Linked DNA regions of Coturnix japonica. The protein of the gene in region 1 purifies or fractionates together with the protein of each later gene. This does not show direct contact. Links are inferred from orthologs where the notes say so. Each region holds a gene or a part of one and is shown on either strand. Other genes may lie near its edges.

The links.
Region 2: the proteins of CABIN1 (region 1) and UBN1 purify together in Homo sapiens (affinity purification with western blotting; 6 studies listed by BioGRID, with this or other methods). This does not show direct contact. The link is inferred for Coturnix japonica from reciprocal best matches to the Homo sapiens genes CABIN1 and UBN1.

Annotation. Positions count from the first base shown.
Region 1 is NC_029530.1:7,169,138-7,179,442, forward strand, and holds part of CABIN1 (calcineurin-binding protein cabin-1), read left to right. Parts: coding exon 1-62; intron 63-314; coding exon 315-495; intron 496-1,007; coding exon 1,008-1,137; intron 1,138-1,501; coding exon 1,502-1,651; intron 1,652-2,112; coding exon 2,113-2,405; intron 2,406-2,721; coding exon 2,722-2,890; intron 2,891-3,248; coding exon 3,249-3,385; intron 3,386-3,760; coding exon 3,761-3,978; intron 3,979-4,660; coding exon 4,661-4,739; intron 4,740-4,983; coding exon 4,984-5,171; intron 5,172-5,643; coding exon 5,644-5,793; intron 5,794-6,553; coding exon 6,554-6,742; intron 6,743-7,440; coding exon 7,441-7,677; intron 7,678-8,380; coding exon 8,381-8,534; intron 8,535-8,775; coding exon 8,776-8,891; intron 8,892-10,305. UniProt on the Homo sapiens protein: May be required for replication-independent chromatin assembly. May serve as a negative regulator of T-cell receptor (TCR) signaling via inhibition of calcineurin. Inhibition of activated calcineurin is dependent on both PKC and calcium signals.
Region 2 is NC_029529.1:11,636,256-11,646,560, forward strand, and holds part of UBN1 (ubinuclein-1), read left to right. Parts: intron 1-369; coding exon 370-440; intron 441-1,386; coding exon 1,387-1,516; intron 1,517-1,741; coding exon 1,742-1,860; intron 1,861-2,343; coding exon 2,344-2,472; intron 2,473-3,410; coding exon 3,411-3,554; intron 3,555-6,337; coding exon 6,338-6,388; intron 6,389-7,543; coding exon 7,544-7,586; intron 7,587-7,913; coding exon 7,914-9,143; intron 9,144-10,305. UniProt on the Homo sapiens protein: Acts as a novel regulator of senescence. Involved in the formation of senescence-associated heterochromatin foci (SAHF), which represses expression of proliferation-promoting genes. Binds to proliferation-promoting genes.

The DNA.
Region 1 (10,305 bases):
ACCTGGCACAACTGGCAGCACAACGGGATGACCTAGAGACAGCCATGGAGTTTTATTTGGAGGTACAGCACAGCTGAAATAGGATAGAGTAGCCTCAATGTTTCCATCAATTTGCCAAAATACAGATGTACTCTTTTCAGCAAACATCATTTGTATGTGTGACTCAGTGCTGTGTACTTTCTGATATTTTACAGCCACCATTCAGTCCCTAAGCTAGTCATGTCTCAGTTAAAAATTAAAGCGGTCAAGGTCTCTGTAAACAAGCAGGTATGCGTGTCTGAAATGTGAATAACACTGTCTGTTATGCTTTCTAGGCTGTAATGCTGGACTCTACTGATGTCAACCTGTGGTATAAAATCGGTCGTGTGGCAATAAAACTCATCCGCCTACCGCTGGCTCGTCATGCTTTTGAAGAAGGTCTCAGGTGTAACCCTGATCACTGGCCTTGTTTAGATAACCTTATCACTATCTTGTACACACTCAGCGATTACCCAAGTAAGTACATTAGTAGACCTGTAAAGAAAAAAATCAATAAACATGTAATTTCATATTAAAAATCATGAAATGATAGTAGGTTAGGGTGTGTTGGAGATCTTTACTTCATGATGAATTTATGATGATTTGTATCTGCTCTAATTACCAGGAAAATAAATGCCCTGTGCAGTGTTTATCAGGAATTGTAAATCAGTTTGATATTGGATCTCTGCTTTTGATCTTAAAATGTTTAAGCGTTTTACCTTTGAGTGATGTCCAGTGAGTTAACTGATTCAAATGGTGTTTAGCAGAAAAGTTGCAAGATAGCAGAAATGTTGAGTTTCCTGAGTCCCATAGGTTTGCCCTACTGTAATGATCCTCATTTTATTTATGTAATTGCCCATATGAATAAAAGCCTGCTGGAATTCATTGCCCATTGCAGCAATGGAATGTGAAATTAAGACAGTTAATAATATGAAAATAGTGAATGGTGAAAGAAGAGTTTGACCTTTCCGTTTTTATTTCTCTGTCAGCATGTTTGTACTTTATCTGCAAAGCCTTGGAGAAAGATTGTCTGTACAGCAAGGGGTTGGTTCTGAAGGAGAAGATCTTCGAGGAGCAGCCTCTCCTCCAGAAAGAATCCTTAAGGATGTTCCTCAAATGGTGAATGTTATCTTATAGCCTGCACTGCATTTGGAGTGTCAACTCTTTTAATCATACACTTCATTTATTATTTTTTTTTATTTACTCTTCAAGAAAGAAAGCAGCAACTTCTGTTTTCCTTTCATTTCTCACCATTTGTAAAACAGAAGGACGCTCTCCATTTATCTTTCAGTTTTTAACTGAGCAATGGTTTCTGATGGTGAAACACTTCTATATGCATGCTGTAAAGTTTGCAAAACAGTGGGTTTTGAATGTTTTGAATGCTCGTTTTAATGCTTTGTGATACCCTACAGAAAAATACAAATCTCTCAAGACTTTTAAAAAAGCAAACAAACCCTCATCTTTGTTTCTTAATACTTTCTAGTGACATGTCTATCCATAATGTAAATGTGAGTGCAGCTGAAACAGGAAGAATCATAGATGAAGCATTGGAGCTACGTAAGAAAAGACAGGCTTTGCTGGTGCAAGAGAAAGAACCAGACCTCAAGCTGATCCAGCCAATTCCCTTTCTCACGTATGTCATATTTAGTTTATAACAGGTTTATCTGAAGCTACTTATGCTGGCAGCTATTTTGTATAAGCTTGGTTTTTGTCAAAACATATTTGTTAAAAAAAAGCACTAAAAAAGGTGACCAGTATTTTCATATTTTGAGTCTGCCGGTTGTTTGGTCTGTTTATGATTTTATTGTAAATGTATCAATTTTCAGTCTTTGATTTAACATTTCAGACTGATGATAAAGAATCTTGAGAATGATTTGGTAGCCATTCCAACTGTATCATCGGATTTTTCATTTTAGATTAGTGTGTGAACTTCAAAATAACTTTAGATTTTTATATGTTTTTACTGTTGATATAATGGAAATTTTAAAACGTAATGCAGATCTTTATTCATAGCAAGATACTTTCAAGTTGTTAAGTACATCTCTATTAAGGCACAAAGGGTTGATTTTTGTAGTGTTGTGTTTCTGTGTGCAGATGGAAATGTTTAGGAGAAGCTTTACTCGCCATGTATCACCACCTCACAACATGTGATCCTCCTCGGCCCAGTCTGGGAAAGAGAATTGATCTCTCAGAATACCGAGAACCTGTTCAGCATTTGGTTCTTTCTCCTACCTCCACTCCTGTCAGTGTTATTCAGCCAACTCCTGTCAGCACTACTGCAGTGGTGACGATGCCAGAACCTATGTTAGCTTATACTCCTGTGACACTCAATTTTCCAAGCCACAGCCAGAATTCATTGGAACCAGGAGCTACTGTAGGTGAGCAAGGTACCTCAGCTTAAGATTAAATATGTTTTTCCAACTGCATAGTTTTCAGCAAGTCTACTTACTGCAGACCAGCTTTTTTATTCAAGATACCACAGCCAGTTTATATTCAGTTGTGTTTTTAAGGTTTTGATATGTTCAAAAAGAAAATGATAAATCTTCAGTATTTCATTAGAGTAAGATAGTTTTAGCCACAAATCATCTTTTTATTTATCTTTATTAATATTTATTATTTTCCTAAAAGGGCTTCCCTCTTGTTTGATAATTTAACAGGTCAGTAACTTTTTTCTTTTTTCTTTTTTTTCAATTCTGTTTTTAGGTGATATATCTGCAGGAGATAAATCCAAGAAAGGGGTGAAGCGAAGAAGAATTACAGAAGATAGCGGTGAAACAGCAAAAAGGAGATCTGCCAGAGTTCGGAACACAAAGTGTAAGAAAGAAGAGAAGGTTGACTTTCAAGAGCTGTTGGTGAAATTCCTTCCTTCCAGGTACAGGACCTTAAACCTGCTAGACCCGATTTGTTTTGGAAGGATTCTTCTCCTTCAATCTTATACATGTTATAAAATTGTTAATGAAAACCTATTGAAAACTAATTCAAAAATGATGAAGCTTCTTGTAAGGCGAGACGATTAGAAGAAAATGCAGGTGTCAAATTGTGCAAGATCAACAAACAGGGCAGTCTTGGTTTCAACAAAATTTGTCAGTACTTTATCTCTGAGTGCGCTTCAGTTACTGTGCTTTCATCGATAAAATATGTACAATGTGCAATGCTTAGGTTTGACTTAACAGTGAAGGAAAGAATGAGGATTTTGTTGGTATAGTGTTTTTGTCCTCCTTTCAACACAGATTAAGGAAAATAGATCCAGAGGAGGAGGAGGACCCTTTCAATAACTATGAGGTGCAGTCAGAAATTAAAGAAGAGAATTTCCAACATGTTGGACCTCATAGAATGTCATTTGATTCTACGACATTCATGGAATCTGGTAAAGAACTCATTAGAACTTCTCTTTTCCTGTTGGTTCTTCTGTCTTGCATGCTTTTCTGTATTCCCTGTCTTATATATGGAAGAAGGATATGAAAGGGTATGTTTTAATATCACATAATTGTACTTTAATCTCAATTAGTAATGTGATTTTGAAGTCTTGGGGACTGGTTAATTACTGTGTGCAAGCACTGTGTTGCATGGAGTTGCCCATTTAAACATATCAGAGCACAGTAACTTAATTCTGCCTCTGCAGCACAAGATGATACTGTGGCCCTTTTGTAAGTGCATAAAACACTGTCAAAACTAACTTATTTCAGGTCACAGCTTATCTTGATCTTAGTTATGCACAGCTTTGCTTTTATTTGCTTTCTAGAAAAGCAAGATGTTCATGAATTCCTGCTGGATAACTTGAACAATGGTGGTATCTTGGAGCTAATGATGAGATATCTGAAGGTTATCAGCCAGAAGTTCCTGGTGAAGTGGCCTCCTGGCTTGTCTGAGGTTGTCCTTACTATCTATACTAGCTGGAGAAAGCACAGTACAAGTCTTCCCAATCCTTTACTGAGGGACTCAAGTAATCAGCATATCAAGGTTATTTATTTATTTATTTATTTTTAATATCAGTATTGTTTCTACTTAGTTGCAGATGAAAAAACAAATTCAGAACTCTGTGCTCCATTGATTTTTAGATTAAAAAAAAAAAAACACACACACAAAAATACAGTGTTGTTGTGTATTGGATGTCCAAATTTTATACATCTAGTGCTATTGTATATTTGTGTATTTTTGTATATACATCCTTTTTTTTAACAAATTCAAATATGTCTTATAACTTCGTGTTAGGTAAAATTTAAAGAGTCAATACTTCATTATGATGCCATTGAAATCACTGTCCTCATGCTTGTCTTTTCCCTTTAATTCCTGAGTTTATTAAACTTGATCTGTAAATTATACTAAATGTGATGAATTCGGAGGTTTTGAGAATCCAGAATGCTACTCTGATACTGTGCACTTTTGGACCTTTAAAAATTGTCATAAGTTCATGGCTTTTACAGATGAATTTGTAACCCTTCTTTCTATGAATATAAAGTATATTCTTCACTACACAAAACTGCCTGACAGATACCCACGGTGCTTTCTAGTGTACTGCTGAACTTTATCATTCATGCATTAATAAACTGGTACGACTAGAATGCATATTCAGTGTCATGGGAACGATGACTATTTTTAATTTTTCTCTCTCTTTTTTCCCAACTTCACACTTTTTCTGCAGGATATGATGTTGATGAGCCTTTCCTGCATGGAACTGCAATTAGATCAGTGGCTGCTGGCAAAAGGGAAGAACTCTACAGGTGAGAGTCAGGTGCTTCTTTCTCTATTCTAAAAATACTGTAGGTAAATTAAGAAACTATTCCAGGAATTCACTGGATTCTTTGGAGCTGTCTCTTCTATATTCTCTGTATACACATCTGAAAGGTGCTTATTACTGGTGTGTCATTTGTCTTCGAGTAGATCAGTAGGTTTTAAATAACTGGTATGTGGGACTCTTCTCATGGGATGCTGGTAACTTTATGATAAAACATAATTGATTTACAGTTTCTCCACGAAATTGCCCTGCTGTCTCTGTGAGCGGAAAGTTTGGTTCTGACTTGCCTGGAATTCATTTCTTGGGAGACCTGCTGCAGTTATCGTTTGCATCCTCACAGCGTGATTTATTTGAGGAGGGCTGGATGGAGTTTGTCACTCGGGTGTATTGGCTGAAAGCTCGCTTTCTAGCGCTTCAGGTTGGTTCTACTCTTGTTATAACAAAACTTTTCTCAGCAATTGAAAGTCATGTTATTCTCAGTTTATTTTAAGTGTGAGGGTTAAATCAGTTTAAGACAGTTAAAAGCATCCTCTTAGTGGAATACAAGGATGTTTCTTGACTCAGTGTTTTGATCAGTATGACTGGAAGAATTATTTCTACTAATTACTTTTTTGTGTTCTTAAAAGAGTTGGAGTTTAATCCAAATTAATCCTTCCAATTCAAGTTGAATTCTATTTCTCTGATTTGTTTTACCTATTACAAAAGTCACTGATAAAATATACTTTATTTGCTTGCTTTGGTTTGCTATTTTGGATTTGTTTTTATGTGTAATAATCACATTGGCAATGCCTACACTGAATCCAAACATTTCGTATGTGCTTTGGAAAGACATTTTGCAGACATAACTCTATTTTTTTTACTATTTTCCCTCCCCCACTGTACTTCTGTAGGGAGACATGGAACAGGCACTTGAAAACTATGACATTTGCACTGAAATGCTGCAGAGTGCCACTACAATGCGGCGTAAAGCTGGTGATGACAGCAACATCATAATACGGTTACCTAATCTGCATGTGGATTCTGTGGTTTCTTTAGAAGAGGTAAGAATTCATTTGCAGGAGTATTCTCCCTGTTCCACCCCTCCCAGTCTCTAAGCCCAATCTATGAATCGGCTCTTTTGTGATGAAAGCTTACCTAGAAATTTTGTCCTAGAAATTTTCCAAGAGTAAAGGAACAGGTTCAGAGTTTAATGATGATGTTATGGCCATCATCTCTTCTTCAAGAAGATGCCTTTCAGATCTCTTGGTTTTGTACAACTTATGATTGTTTTTATGCAGAATAAAAAGGTTTTTCTATTAGAGGCACTGCATGTGCAGTGGTAGATTATTAAACCACTGTTTTATTTTCTGTTCTATGAATATAACTTCCACTGATGGTTAAATGAGTTTCTTTTTTTAGGAGCTGGTGTTTTCCACATAGTAATTTTCATACACATTTGAATAAAAGGCTATTAATTTTCCATTCTTTCTTTAGCTGTTTAGGAGAGTCAACTCCAATGCAGGTTGTGCAATCTTCACTTTAAAGTCTATCTGATGGACGTATTTTTGCTTTTAAGTGTCTTATTCAGGGATCTGAGGCAAAAAAGTGTATTATTACACATTAGTCACATACTATATGATAAAGAAAAGTATGTGGAACAGCTGAAGAGTTACGTAGTAGGTGTTGTCTACCTGATTTGCATTCCTGGACATATTTGTAGAGTTAACACAGCTTTATAGCTGAAGTGTGAGGTGAAGGGGCACTGCCTTTGTGTGTGAAGACAAAATGAAGATTGGATTGTGCCATGTGTGATATTTGCAGATCGATAAAAACTTAAAATCTCTGGAGAGATGCCAGTCTTTGGAAGAGATCCAGCGACTGTATGAGACAGGGGATTATGCTGCAGTAGTGCATCTGCTCCGCCCAACATTATGCTTCAGTGGAAGAGTAAAACATCTGGAGTTTGTAACATCCATACCAGAGAGACCAGCACAGCTGCTTCTCCTGCAGGTTTGTTGGTGATTTTACAGCCATTCTGAACCCAAAGCTTTGAAAAAGCTGTGTAGTGTATGGGTGGTTTCGTGTTGTGGCGTACCTGTCCTGCATGGATGACAAACTGTTGGTAGATAGATCCAGTATAACAGCTGCATCAGTAATCCACATAATACTGAAAATAGGCATACAAATTACCTCAGTTGTGGGAGGGGTTGGAGCTGTCAGGTTTTCTGTCTGGGGGAAAAAGAATCACAAGAAAGACTAATGCTGCTTTAGCTGGACTGAGCCAAATCCAACAGCCTTGTTGCAATCTCATTTACCTACACTTGAATATAAAGAATCAAGAAGGGTGTTGTAATACTGGCCTTGTAGTTGCTATTTTGACATTTATGGAGTAATTAAATGATAGCCTAAGAATATAAGCTGTGTATGGTTAGAATTTAATAAACGTGTAGGCATCATGTTCTTGAAAATGTGTATTTCATGCCTCTTATTCAAGTAGAAATTCATATTCTACGTGTATATTTATCATCCAAGATCTGGACTCATCCTGTTGTCCTTTAATGTGATATGAAGGTGTTTACTTCAACTGAGTGTAACGAACTGTCTTATCTGTATGATGTGTACAGCCTTCCTTTGCTGTATTCATTTTAATTATTTTAAGAGTATACTCTTCATCTTTTTTTTTTTTTTTTCATGTTTACATTCTTTAGGACTCTTTGCTTAAGCTGAAAGATTACAAGCAATGCTTTGAATGCTCAGAAGTTGCCTTGAATGAAGCAACTCAGCAGATGATGAATATAACGGCAGCCTCTGCTAAAGAGGAATGGGTTGCTACGGTAACACAGCTGCTCATAGGAATAGATAGTTCATTATCATCAGACAACAGCATCCTGAAAGAGTCTTCTATAACATCAAGCCTTGTTCGATTAACAACCAACCTGATTCAGGTAACCTGTTCACTGGTACTTGAAAAGAGTCACTATGTTCTGTGGACATTCAGACATGAGTACAGCTGCTGTCCAAACTGCTATCTATTCACACTGATATTTTGGGTTACAGTTTTGCTGGTACAGAGGGAAAGAAGAACATTGTCTTTGTTGTTTTAATTTTCAAGTCAGAGTGTTAGAGAGCCACTGAGTTCACCTGTTCTAGAATCAGTAAGAGTGTGGATACCTTCAAATACAAATCTGCCTGGTGTAATTAAAGAATGGTAGTAAAAGAACCAAAGGAACACAACTTTTCTTATGCTCTGTAATGAGAACAATGTGAAGACTTATTTAGCTGGCTGAGTGCATTTTGTAACTTTGTTAGGTTTAGTCATTCTTACTCACGTAAGTTATTTGTACTGTGTCTGTTAATGATTTCGACTCATCTTTTACATTGGCTGTGCTCTCCAGCTGTTATATTTTCTTCTGTGCATTTATTCACTTTGAAAAGTCTGAATGTGGTATTAGCAGAGAGAACTGATTGGAAAAATGACTATGCAAGAGAAGAACATCTTCTCCCTGTTGATTGTGAGAAGCTGAAACTTAATTGAGGATTACTCCTATAGGGTAGAATATGCTATTAGCTTTGGGTTGTTCATTAAAGATTCACTCCTGACTCTTAATCTGTATCTTTTTGTGTGTGTGATGCCTGTTTCTTTCTTAGATCATAGATTGCAGCATGGCAGTCCAGGAGGAACCCAAAGAACCGTATGTCTCCTCAGTTCTTCCATGGATCATCCTACACAGGATCATCCAGCATGAAGAAGATGCTTTTCAATCCCTTTGCTGCCAGCAGCAGCAGAACCAGGGAGAAGGAGGTAACTTTTTAAAATTCATTTTTACATGCTGGAGCTGAACTTCTCTCCATCTTACTATGTAATATAAATAAAAATTACTTAGTTTGTCATCTCATCTGCTGACTGAAGGGAGTGGATGGATATACAGGCACGACATTCTTATCCCAGAGACTTATTTTTTTGCACCCGATGAAGCATTGGGTAGTTGAAGTTAACTCCGTTCTGTACTACTAAAATAACTGCCAACTTCTTTTTTTTCCAGTGAATCCTGATACTCCTATGCTGCCTTCTTCACTCATGCTTCTGAACACAGCTCATGAATATTTGGGACGAAGGTCCTGGTGCTGCAACTCAGATGGTGCTCTTCTCAAGTTCTATGTAAGTGTTGTAGAGTATCTTAGGCTGGGGGAAAAAAAAAAAACAACTTTGAAATTCATATGGCCAACACCCATCTTAAAACACTTTATTAAATTATTACATTGGTAATGTCTTCATGTTAAAGTACATTTCTGAATCCACTTTTCTTCTGCAGAGTACATCAACCTTTGTCAGTTAGGTCTGAATAGTGAAGGTTTGCTTTTTCTACTCCCCTTTCCTTTGTTATCCTTTCTAAACAGGACTTCTTGTCAGGCAGGAGTTATCTTTGAGTAACCACTTTTGTTCTATACAGACATCTTAAATGAAAGCTAGTAAATGGTCTGCCATGCCTAGAGAACCATTAAGTGATTGTGCTGAGTACATAGTCTTGTAGAGTACATCTCAGTGTGATTTCTTTACAAAAAGACTGTTTAAGAATCACGCCTGCTTGTGTTCAGTAAGCAAAGTGATATTCAAGAGTCTTAATTGTGAGAACTTTGTTAAAGAATAACGAAGAACAGCACACGCAAGAAAAATGGCAGCTTACCTAGGTGTTAGAATAAAAAATTTAATTATCCTTTTGGAAGGCAGTTCTCTAAAATCTGTCAAGTAATAAGAATATACTCCTGAGTGTTGGTATAAAACTGAAAATAAACTTGAGCAGATTACTTCCTGTCATAATTCCCTTTCTTCTTTGGACTTCTCACTGAGAGGAACAATTGCTGTCTTCCACTTTTCCTGCTTTGCTTCTTGCACTACTATTTTATTTTCCTCCTAGGATTTGAAGAAGGAAGAATGACAAGCAATCCAATAACACTGTACATCATTCACAGACTGAAAAAAACTGTGCTGTTACATCTGTAAACGTGTAATCTAATGGGATTCCACATTCATCTTAATGATTGTAAAAAGGTTTTTAACTAGATTTATGGTTGCTCAATTCACAGAACAGAATTTGCCAAGTGTTACTTAAAGGTTGTGTGTTTTCTGTTATAGGTAAATATTATCTAACACTTCAGAGAGTCTTCTAAATGAAAATTCAGTTTTGAATTTTGCAGTTAAACTTATCTCTTCTAAACTCAAGAGTGAAGATAACTAAATTTGTAGGATGTGATCTCTCCCCAGCTAGGCATCTGGAATGTTGTTGATCCCTCACAGCCTGTTTGGTGTTACCTGCATTTGGTCCTGCAGCTGTGATGTTTGTGACTGTTCTGCTGTTGCTTAATTTGGGTATTTTGATTATACCTGCAGACTGAAACAGGTAGCACTTCTATTGTTTTTGTGCTATGAGCTAAATATAACTTCAGCTTATATTTACAGAGCTGATCTATTAAACAAAGATGATAATGAAGAACTACTTAAGTCCTTCTCCCTCTGTTTCAATGCTGTTCTTTGCTCTGTTGTTCAGTTGAGTGTGTTATAAAATCTGGTATGT
Region 2 (10,305 bases), on another chromosome or scaffold:
TAATGCCAGGGAAGCCAGTTGCCTCTAAGCCATCTCCTTTCCCACTTTAAGCAAAGGAGTCTTGACTATGATGTTACAGCTCCACTGTACACAACAGCAGCACATCCAGAATCCAGAATGGAAAGGTGTGTGAATGTGACATGACCATACCAGCCCAGGTGGTAGAGTTGGACTCAAATTGAGGATACCTAAGAGGTATCCCTTATTTTTGGCAGTTTTTAGTCCACTTACAAGCAGGTATTTGGTGGAGAACTCAGTGAAATAACTCTGCTTTGTTTTGCAGTATTTTTGAAGTGGTTTTTAAAATAAGCTTTTGATTCCTTATGCCCGTCTATATTGGTATTTGAAATGTTGACTTCTATTTTCCAGGCTGCGAGAGCTGCAGAGGGAGAAGGCAAACAGAAATTCTTCACTCAGGACATCAACAATATCATACTGGAGTAAGTGCTGTGTGGGTTGAGGATTGGGGCTAACGTAAGGAAAGGAGAATGCTGGGGAGAGCATTGCTTTTTGGTAAACTGAGGAGCAGGTTTAGCAGGAGGTGTGGGCCTTCCACACAGAACACACCTAGGAAATCATGAATGTCTCCTAGAAACGGCTTTCTGTTGTGATATGTGTACTTGAGGTAAGAGAAAGCTGGAGGAGTTGTATCTAAGCCTCTTGTTTTCAAGCTAATGCTTCATATTCATGTATTTAATTCTTTCAGCTTGACACAAGGACAGTAGATCTCATTCTGTCAGAGAGGTCAGGCATGTTCTTTGCTATTTATGTGCTGTATGGAGTATTTTTAAACTGGAATAATGCTGCTGCATTCAGCTGGCATTCTGTAAAGATGGGAGGAACTCCATTACTGCTCTGTATCTTTGAGCCCACCAATTGTAGAAAGCCACTGCAGTTTCAAGGAGCTGCTGACAATAGCTTCATTCTTCTTCAAGTGTCTGGAGAAGGCTGATGAATGCATGCAGCTTTGTGAACATCTCAGTGTAATACTTCAGCCTTAAGGAAATCAATGCCTCTGTTTATCAAGGCCCTTGAAGGGAGCTGCTGACAGGAAGTTGGGGAGTCTGTTTACCTCTCCTTTCAAGTGGTGATTGCTACCTTTTAGCATCCCAGTGTTAGACCCTGGCACTGCTGCCCAGAGCTGGAGGTGCCTGAGGCCATGGATGGGTCCCTTGGCAGCCTAACCTGGGGGAGGGGAGGGGGAAAGGCAAGTCTGTAACATGAAATGGCTTGGGTTGGAAGAGATTCTGTGATGATTCTATGGATTGGCCTTGAACTTTCACCCTCTGCCTTCAGCTCCCCAGGTTGTTCCAAAGTTGCCTTTCTGTTGCTTAGGGATCCCATGCCAGGTCTCTGCTCAGTGTTTGTGTTTGTCTTGTTTTTCAGCATAGAACTGCAGACCAGGGAGCTGAACAGCCAGATTCGGTCAGGGGTGTACACCCACCTGGCTGCATTCTTACCGTGCAGTAAGGACACTCTAGTCAAGCGTGCCCGTAAGCTTTATCTCTATGAGCAGGTGAGTGATGTTGGCAGCACAGCCTTGTCTCCCATGCATGTTACCCTGATCTCCAGAGCACAGTTGTTGTCTGCATGGTGTGCTGTTGTCCTCCACTCAAACATACTTTAGTCCGCCCCATCTGGTGGTGTGGGTTCAGAATTGGCAAAATCTCATCCTGCTGAATTTGGGTGTCTTATCTGGAGCACAGTGTGGAGCCTCAGTCTGTTCTGTGATGTGCTCTAGGGTGGACGACTGAAGGAGCCTCTGCAGAAGCTGAAGGAAGCCATTGGTAGAGCCATGCCAGAGCAGATGGCGAAGTACCAGGAGGAATGCCAAGCCCATACTCAGGCCAAATTTGTCAAGTAAGCTCATCATTCGCTTGTTATGCATCTGTAACTCTTCTCAACAAGTTCCCTGTAAACTGCTTTCCTGAAGTTTATCACCTACTTTTTTTTCCTGTACTCCAGAATTGCTGACAGCCGTTAATCGCCCTAATTAAGCAGTGTGTGTTCTTTGTACTATCTGTACTGATGCCACCTACAGCAGCATTGATAGGAGCAGAATTTGGCTGAAGTGTTTCACTTCTGCCCGGGCATGTTTTTAGAAACGTGTCAGTCTGAAAGCAGACAGGCTGGATCTCTGTGGTCTCTATTACACAGCAGTGGGAAATACATTAACACTGAGTGCTTAGCTCAGCTTCCACCTTAAGCAAGAGGTTTAGGCCCTGTTTTGAGAGCTTATTATCACTCATCTGTGAGACTTCTGAACAGTACTGTTCGGAGATTTATCCTGGTTTTGGATTAGCCAGGACGATGACTTCCACACTGTCTTCATCTCTATTTTAGAATGCTGGAAGAGGAAAAGGACAGAGAGCAGCGAGATCGAGTTTGCTCTGATGATGATGAGGATGATGAAAAGGGAGGGAAACGCGTCACGGGACCACGAAAGAAATTTCAATGGAATGATGAAATAAGGTTCGCATAATTTAGATATTAAGTGAACCTGTGACTTGCTTCACTTCCAACTGCATAGAATAAGACACCTTAATATTTGTATCTTGGTTTCAGAGCAGGACTAATCACTTGCAGTAACAGTCAGATTGGAAGCTTGCAGAAGCCACTATTGCAGTTAGTAAATCTCAACTTGGAATACACTGTAAAACGAACCCAATTTCAAGTACAAACCAACTCTGAGAGAAGAGCTAAGAAACCTCTATGTAGAGGTCAAAAGAGAGGGGACAGGAAAAGAAGGAACGTGACGGAATGCTGAAATCCCACCAACTAGACTCTTAACAAGATTAGATTTCTGGTTGTGAAAACAGCTTTAAACTCTTGGGAGTTGCTGCCCTTGCACCCAAGGGTCTGACAGAGTGCTGGGTGAAAGGGAGAATGACGCAGGGTAAAATGAGAATCAGTCATGCTGTCTTTTTCATCTTATTCTGACAAATTGGGATGCTGCTCCATAGATGGCCGATACATTTAGAACAAAGAGGGCTTCACTTCCTGCCTTCCCGTTGCTCTCAGCACAAACTCCTGCAGAGGAGTTCAGGTCTGCAGTTGTTCGTGACGCCTGTAATTCTGGCACTGATTTACCCCCTCTGCTGTTTCAGGATATTATGGAGTATAAGGCCTTTCTCCTCTGGCTCATTTGTGTGCATGCGTATGCATACAGAGAAACGTGCCTTTCCCTGCCTCTTTCTTACAGAAGCAGTGCAGGGTTGACTTTTTTGTTAGAAAGGTGTTTGGAATGCCTCGACTTGAATCCTGCACTTGGCTGGCTACTGTCTGATCCAGAGTACTTATGCACAGCCAGGCATGTCTTGGCATATTCATCCAGCCTGGATAAGTGGAACGGCCTCCATCTGGGGAAAATAAATCCAAGTAACTGTATTTGAAATCTTCCTGTTCTTCAGGGAGCTGCTTTGCCACTTGGTGAAGATTAAATTGGATGGTTATGAGTATGACAAGAATAAGGCTCAGTCTCTGGAGGATTATGTGAAGACCTTCCTAGATGGAGAGGTGAAGCCCCTATGGCCAAAAGGCTGGATGCAGGCCAGGTGAGCAAGAATAATGTTGTACTCTAGGGATTCTTTATCATAAGGGACTTCTGAAGGTCGTTAGTCCTATCCCTGTTCAAAAAACAGTTAGTTTCAAACTTAGGTCAGGTCGGTCAGGGCTGTGTCCTTCTGAGTTTTGAAAGTCTCTGTGGATGGAGATTGTGACAGCATCTCTGGGCCACTGTTCTGATATGTGTCGCTTTTCACAAGTCTTTTCTCTTTATTTTCAATCTGAATTGCCCTTGCTGCACTGAAATGGCAAAATGAAATAGGTACCTCTGTCTTCTTTGTGGCTCCCTGTACCCAGAACTCTTGGACTAGTGGAAGACTGCTGTTAGATCCCTCTTTAGTCTTAAGGTTTTCCAGGCTGAGCAAACTCATATTCTCCATGTCACGTGTTCCTGTCCTCAGCCATCTCATGGGCTCTGGACTGCCTCCAGTTTGTCAGCATCTCTCTTGTATTGTGTGGGCCCTGAAACTGGACACTGTACAGATGCAACTTCACAAGTACTAAACAGAGGAGAGTAAGCACTCATGCTGTTAGCTGGGCACCAGAATTTAGTTATCTTCCAGCCGTGTGCCCTTTAAGCAGTGAGTTCAGATTGTACTCAAGGACAACCTCAAGTTGGCCCTGAGCCTGTGTGTCTGCATGGGGTTATTCCATGCCAGCTGCAGGACTTGTGTTTGTCTTTGTTGAACTTCTCAAGGTTCCTGTCAAGGTCCCTGTGAGTGGCAACCCTGCCCACCCTGTTTCCATGTCTTACTTACAACTTACACAAACTTACTGAGAGTCCAGCGTGTGTCTGTCATCCAGGTTGCTAGTGACAGTATTGAGTGGTCTTGGCCTTGGCATTGACCTCTGATGGGTGCTGCTGGGTGTGACAAGTTATGAATCAGGATTGGCACTGAGCTGAGGCCTGTGGTTTCCTGAACCCGTATCACCAAAGACCTTATCAGACACTTGGGGAAATCTTTCCTAGAGCTTAGAGTGTTCCCAAGAGAAAGCAAAGTGAAAGACTTTAGCAACTGTGGGACTTGCACAGAGGCAGCAGAATAAGTAGGAATTGGGAAGGGGTAAAGAAAATCACATTCGTGTCTTGATTGCTGTTTCCTGCTTTTAAATGCCGTCTATCATCCTTGTCACTGAGCTGATGATTGCAGAGAGCCACACCAGTTGCAGAGCATCATTCTATTGAGAGCGTCATCAGTTCCTGGCCTGCCTTGTTTTGCTCACTAGGTTTAAAACAATGACAAGTGTGCAGTCCTACTGCTGGAACTTCAGTCTCTTTGCGCTTACAGACCTGGATAGCACTATGATCTTTTCTCTGATGAACTTTTTTATGATTTAATGGGTACCAGCTCTTAAGAGCAGTAAGTGTGAGAAGCAAATTACAAATCCATCTGGAAAACTACCATGGCAGTTTACTGCAGTTGCACTTGTCCATGAGGTGCAGTACTGCGCATGGTTGTAGTGTGCTGTAGTGTGGGAGCTAAAGGATGGCATTAGAAAAAGTGGGTGCGGACTCCTCCTTAATAAAGACATTACCAGTTTGGGGGTGGTCTCAGCTCACCAACTTTGAAACCTCTTGGAATAGAAGGAAATGGAAATCTTTTCCCTGAATTTGTAGGTAAAACTGTTATTAAGCATACAGATGTTCTTCCAAGACTCACTGTAGGAGAATCTTCCAATGAAGCTGAGTGCAGGAATGACTGAAGAAAAGCGGTTTCCCTAATTGCTTCTCAGTGGCTAAAGGACAATGTTTTTTCTTTTGGGACTTTTAAGGACAGAGTGTTGCCTACCAGCCAGGCAGACGTGGAGGGGGGGGGGAGGGGTTGCGATACTAGGAGAGCTGTAAACACTTTTGTGGACAAATCAGCTTGATTTGCTGTCACTGTGAGCTCACGAGTTCGTCTTTAAAAGGAACCTCAAGGGGAATGGAGTGTCAGCTTTGTGTTTGAGTTCAGAGAGGCTCTGCCATGATTCTGTTTTCTTGGTTAGCACTAAAAGGCAATTAATGTAAGACTAAAAGGTTAAAGTATGTGAGCTTTTTAAAAGAAAATGGATGACAAAAGTTCCTTGCCTTAAAAACTGAGTATGATAATAGCAGAAGGAAAGCGTGTGTTCCATATGCCAGCATTGATGGTATGTTTATAAGCTCACCTTGATCTAAGAAACCAGCTGAGTGGCAGCTGTTGTAGGTGAAACATTGCTTGCATAAGATTCTGGTTTACTTATCCTTAACACTAATGGCTTTTGGATGAAGTTCTGTTTATTAGTTGTGTCTAGACAATTGAAGAAATGGTTTTGCTGATTTGCAAAGGCACTTCTGTCTTTTGGGATGCAAAGGCAGCAGCAATGCAGTGTGTGAAGGCTTCTCATCCATATTGCTATATATAAAGAAGGGAAAGGAAACCTCTCTTCCTTAAACATGGTGGAGAGCTCCTGGATGATCTGCCAGCTCTTGATGATCTCTGGTAGCAGCAACACTCAGCCTGAATGGCCGTGCTGTCTCTCCAATTGACTGTCAGCTCATTCCTTAGCTACTGTCCAACCACACTGCCTTAATGGCCCTTCCAGCGCCTACAAGCTTAGCTCCCCAGTGAGGGAATGGAGTGAGGGAGTTCAAGAGGATTTTCCTTGAAAATGGATGAATATTTGTTTGCTCCATGGTTTTAATTTCACTAAGTCCCCTGCTGTTCTGTGCAGCTCTGTCTCCAGTGATCCCAGCTGCTCTACTGGGTCTTGCTGGATATCACTTCTCATTGCTCTCTTCCCTTCTTAGGACACTGTTTAAGGAGAGCAGGCGTGTACACGGACACCTCACATCAGTCCTGTGAGTATCGTGCAGCATTCCTTTAGAGTGATAACTGGTGATCTGCGTTCCCTGGGGCCTGGGTGGATCGTGCAGGAACACCTGAGCTTGTTTGGCTCCTGTCAGACAGTTTGGCGCTGCTTCATTTGGGAAGGTCTAAGGAGAGAAGTGGTGTGTGACATCTCCCAGCAAAAGCCTTTCTGAGGTGCCTGGGCCTTACAGCAGGCTCAGAGAATGACCTTTGATGCCAGGTTGCCTCCTGGCCTTGTTCAGCAGGCTGGAGTCAGGCTTCTGTGCTAGGCCCTGGGAGACAGTTGAGTAAAATGGACTGTGGTGCCAGCACTGTGTTTATTGCCACCTATTCAGTTAATCCTTACTGGATTCTGGATTCCCTCTTCCTTGCTGCCAGATTAAAGCAGAGGTACGATGAGCTCAAGGCAATGAGAATGGGAGAAACAGACCTGTGGGTGACAAACCAAGGGATCCATCGGAATCCAGCTGGGCAGGTGCCTTAAGGCCTAAGGGCCTCATGGATCTTGCTGGCAGCATGTAACAGACAACGATATAGATTTAGGCTGGTATCTGTTTGACAGCTGGTCCTGTTCTTGGCATTGGATGAATGAGGGGAAGCAGAGAAAGGGTATGAAATAGAATGTAGAGTCATCCTTCCCTCAGCCATACCTCTCCAGCAGCTCAGGGATGTCTTGTACCGGTGATTGCATCTGACCAGACCAAATGATCTATTTTCCATGAATTTGGCAGATGCTTTTGCATCTTTGACTTCTTCTGGGAATCTAAAAGAAGTGTGTAGTTTTTTTTCCCCTCTAAAATAGCCTGTGTATCCATTTCTCTCTGGGTGTTGCTATATTTAGGTCAGCAGTGGGCTTCTGTAGCTCGTAGCCCTGCAGCTGATGCAGGATGTGTCTGTTGAGTGCTTTCACTGCTCTGCAACCATTTCAGATACTCTGCTCTGCTCCCTAAATCGTTCCCCTGTGTGGGAGCTGGGACTTCCTAGGGCAGCAACAAATGTCATACGATTTTGAATCCTAGCAACCTGAGATGCTGCCTCTGTTCTTTGCAAAAGACTCAGTGGATCATCATTAACAGGGCCCCTGACTGGATGCTTCCCTACAGGCACTCAGTGAACCCATGTTTTCTTTGTCTCCCTTGAAACAGGGCGAAGAAGAAGGTTGTCGCTCCTACTAAAGTGAAGGGGAAGGTGAGTTCTGTGTTTTTTGGTACACACATTTGATATATCCCAGTAGTTGAGAGACTGCCATCCTAGGTCCTATACTTGAGCTTTGTATCTATGCATAGATGTAAGGAAGTTGTATTCTTAAACAGCAGCAGTCTGCACTGTGCTTGAGGAAAGAATTAGGACAGCAGCTAGAACTGATGGCAGCAGGAGTACCAGCCTGGAAGGAGGGTACCTGTCATCGGACAGGTATCACACCTTTCATCCCAAAATCAGGGACCTTTCCTTCCCTTCTCAGCATTACATTCTGCCTCTGTTTTGACTTTGCTTTCTGTTGTTATTTTGTTCCAGGAACTCTCCTCTAAACCTGATAAAAAGGTGGCTGTTTCTGTTCCATCAGTACATTCAAGCAACACCGTAGCTCTGTCATCAGAATCCCAGGCAGGAAGTCTTAACATCAGTGCCCAGACCAGAGAACTCCTGTCCCTTGGGACAGCACAAGCAGCCAACAGCACTACTACTCCTGCTGCCTTCATGGACAACTCTTTGGATGAAGATTTAATTCATAATCCTACTTCCTCCCTTGAAGCAGTCTCCAAGGAACTGGCTGTGTTGAACAGCAGAGCAGGAGGGAGCCCTGACTTTCCTCTTCCTGGAGCTCCAAAAGCTCCACCTGAGAAGATTCCAACTATTGCATCCTCAGAAGAGAAGAGAACATTTCCAAAGGCCCACCCTGCTCCCACAACATCCTCTGCTGGTTCCCTCCAGTCTCCTCTAAATTTCCTGGCTGAACAGGCCCTCGCATTGGGCCAAACTTCCCAAGACAAAAAGACAGAGAACTCTAATTATAAAGAGCTCTCCTGCCAAGCCTCCCCCAGCAAAATCCTTCCTGATATACACCAGGCTAAACAGAAGCACCACAGCCTGGTCCGACCAAGCCATGGGCCTCAGACCTCCACCTCGGTGCCAGGTACTCAGGTGAAGGTTTTCCACTCAAGCAACCAGCCACAGAAAACTTTCACCTCTCCGGCTCCATTTGTCAAACTGCAGAACCCCAAGTCCTCCTCCCCATTGCCCCAACGCTCCCTCCTCCAGCAGGTCAAGTCATCAACCAAAGCTCAGAGCTTCCATTCCTCTGCTGCCTCAGGCAGCACCCAAAACTCCAGCAGTTCTCACAAAAGCCCAGGCTCATCATCGTCATCTCTAAACTATACAGGAAAGCACTCAAGTGGCTCTAGCACTTCAGGACAATCCTATAAATCACCCTTTGTTTCTGGATCCCTCTCCAAGCATGGGGCTTCTTCCAGCAGCTCCTCATCGGGAGCGTCTGCAAACCAGGGCTGCTCCTCTGGGAACTTGCTGCCCAGCATGCAGACCCCTTCCTCCAGCCAGGCATCCAGCCGGCCAGCCCCGAGCTCTGCAGTGAAGAAGACTCCTGTCTCTCAGAAGCTGACTCTGGTGGCACCTCCAGGAGGTTCAAATGGAGATTCTAGTGGGGGCACACAAGGGGTGGCCAAATTGCTGACCTCCTCCCTAAAGCCAGCTGTTGCCAGCAGCGCCGCATCTTCTACCTCTGTGCCGGTAAGTAGGAGCATGCTGACCCAGCCCGATGCCAGGAGAGCACATGGCGTTGTGTCAGGCAGTCTCCTGACTTGCTGAGACCTGCCATAAAATGGTGACTTTGAAAGAAGTTCCTGAAATTCTTGAATGACTGTCTGGACTTTGACTGCTTAGGTTAGGAGGACTTGGCCTTTGCAATGGGTTTACAATCTAGAGTTCAAGCTTTTGTTTTCAGCTTAAAGTAATGATCAAAATACTCTGGTACCTTCCAGACAGCAATTTTTGGGTAGGCTGTGTAGTGTTCTAGACCTGGTGTTGTGAGTTATGGTGACAATAATGCTGCCACTTAGGGCAGGAGGAAGCGTGGTAAGGCAGGTAGCTGATATCATTGCATAAACTAAGATTATAACTGCCAAGTTGTTTGAAATTAGGTCTGCGTTTTGACCTTCTTACATTATAAGTAATTTTAGTATTACTGGCGCTTAGTTTCACTACTGCTCTGCAGAGTAAACAGTCTGTGATACTGGGCTTTAAACTCAAAATGCCAGCCCAGCTATTTCTGTCCACATTCTGTTGCTCCCCGGCTGCTCTCATAGGTAGTGAAGTGATATTTGGAACTCAGCTTGCTGGCAAGCTGTGAAACTCGAGGTCTGACAGATCAATGAGATACGATGCTCTGTGCAGGTCTCCCGGGATACCTATACAAATCTGTATTATTCAGCCATTGTATTTAATGATTTTCATCCATAGACATTTCTAATGCAGTTGTATTAGTTTGTCAGCTGCTCAAATTGGCACTCGTTAGTGGCACACAGTAAGAGCAGGGCAAGAAAAATGTTTAAATGGGCTTGAGAACCACATACTATTCAGCCTGTGCACCCTGTCTGTTACCAAGATAAAGAGCTGGAGGGCATTTCCCAGTGGAGCAGAATTCTGTGGGAGTGATCTCCAATAGCATTCTTGGGTAAAGAGGTAAACCAGGCCTTGGTGCCCTGATTTGACAGCAATTATATGGTGTTGAAAGATAATAAGAAGCTTCCTTCCTGGAACTCATAGGCAGTAGTTTAGCTTTTCCTCTGCTTATTGGAGGCATAGTTCCAGAGTAAGAGAATAACAGGCTCAGATCCAGTATGGTCACATTAGGAGACCACAGAATCCAGCAGCTGGGTTGTTAGTGTTCTGG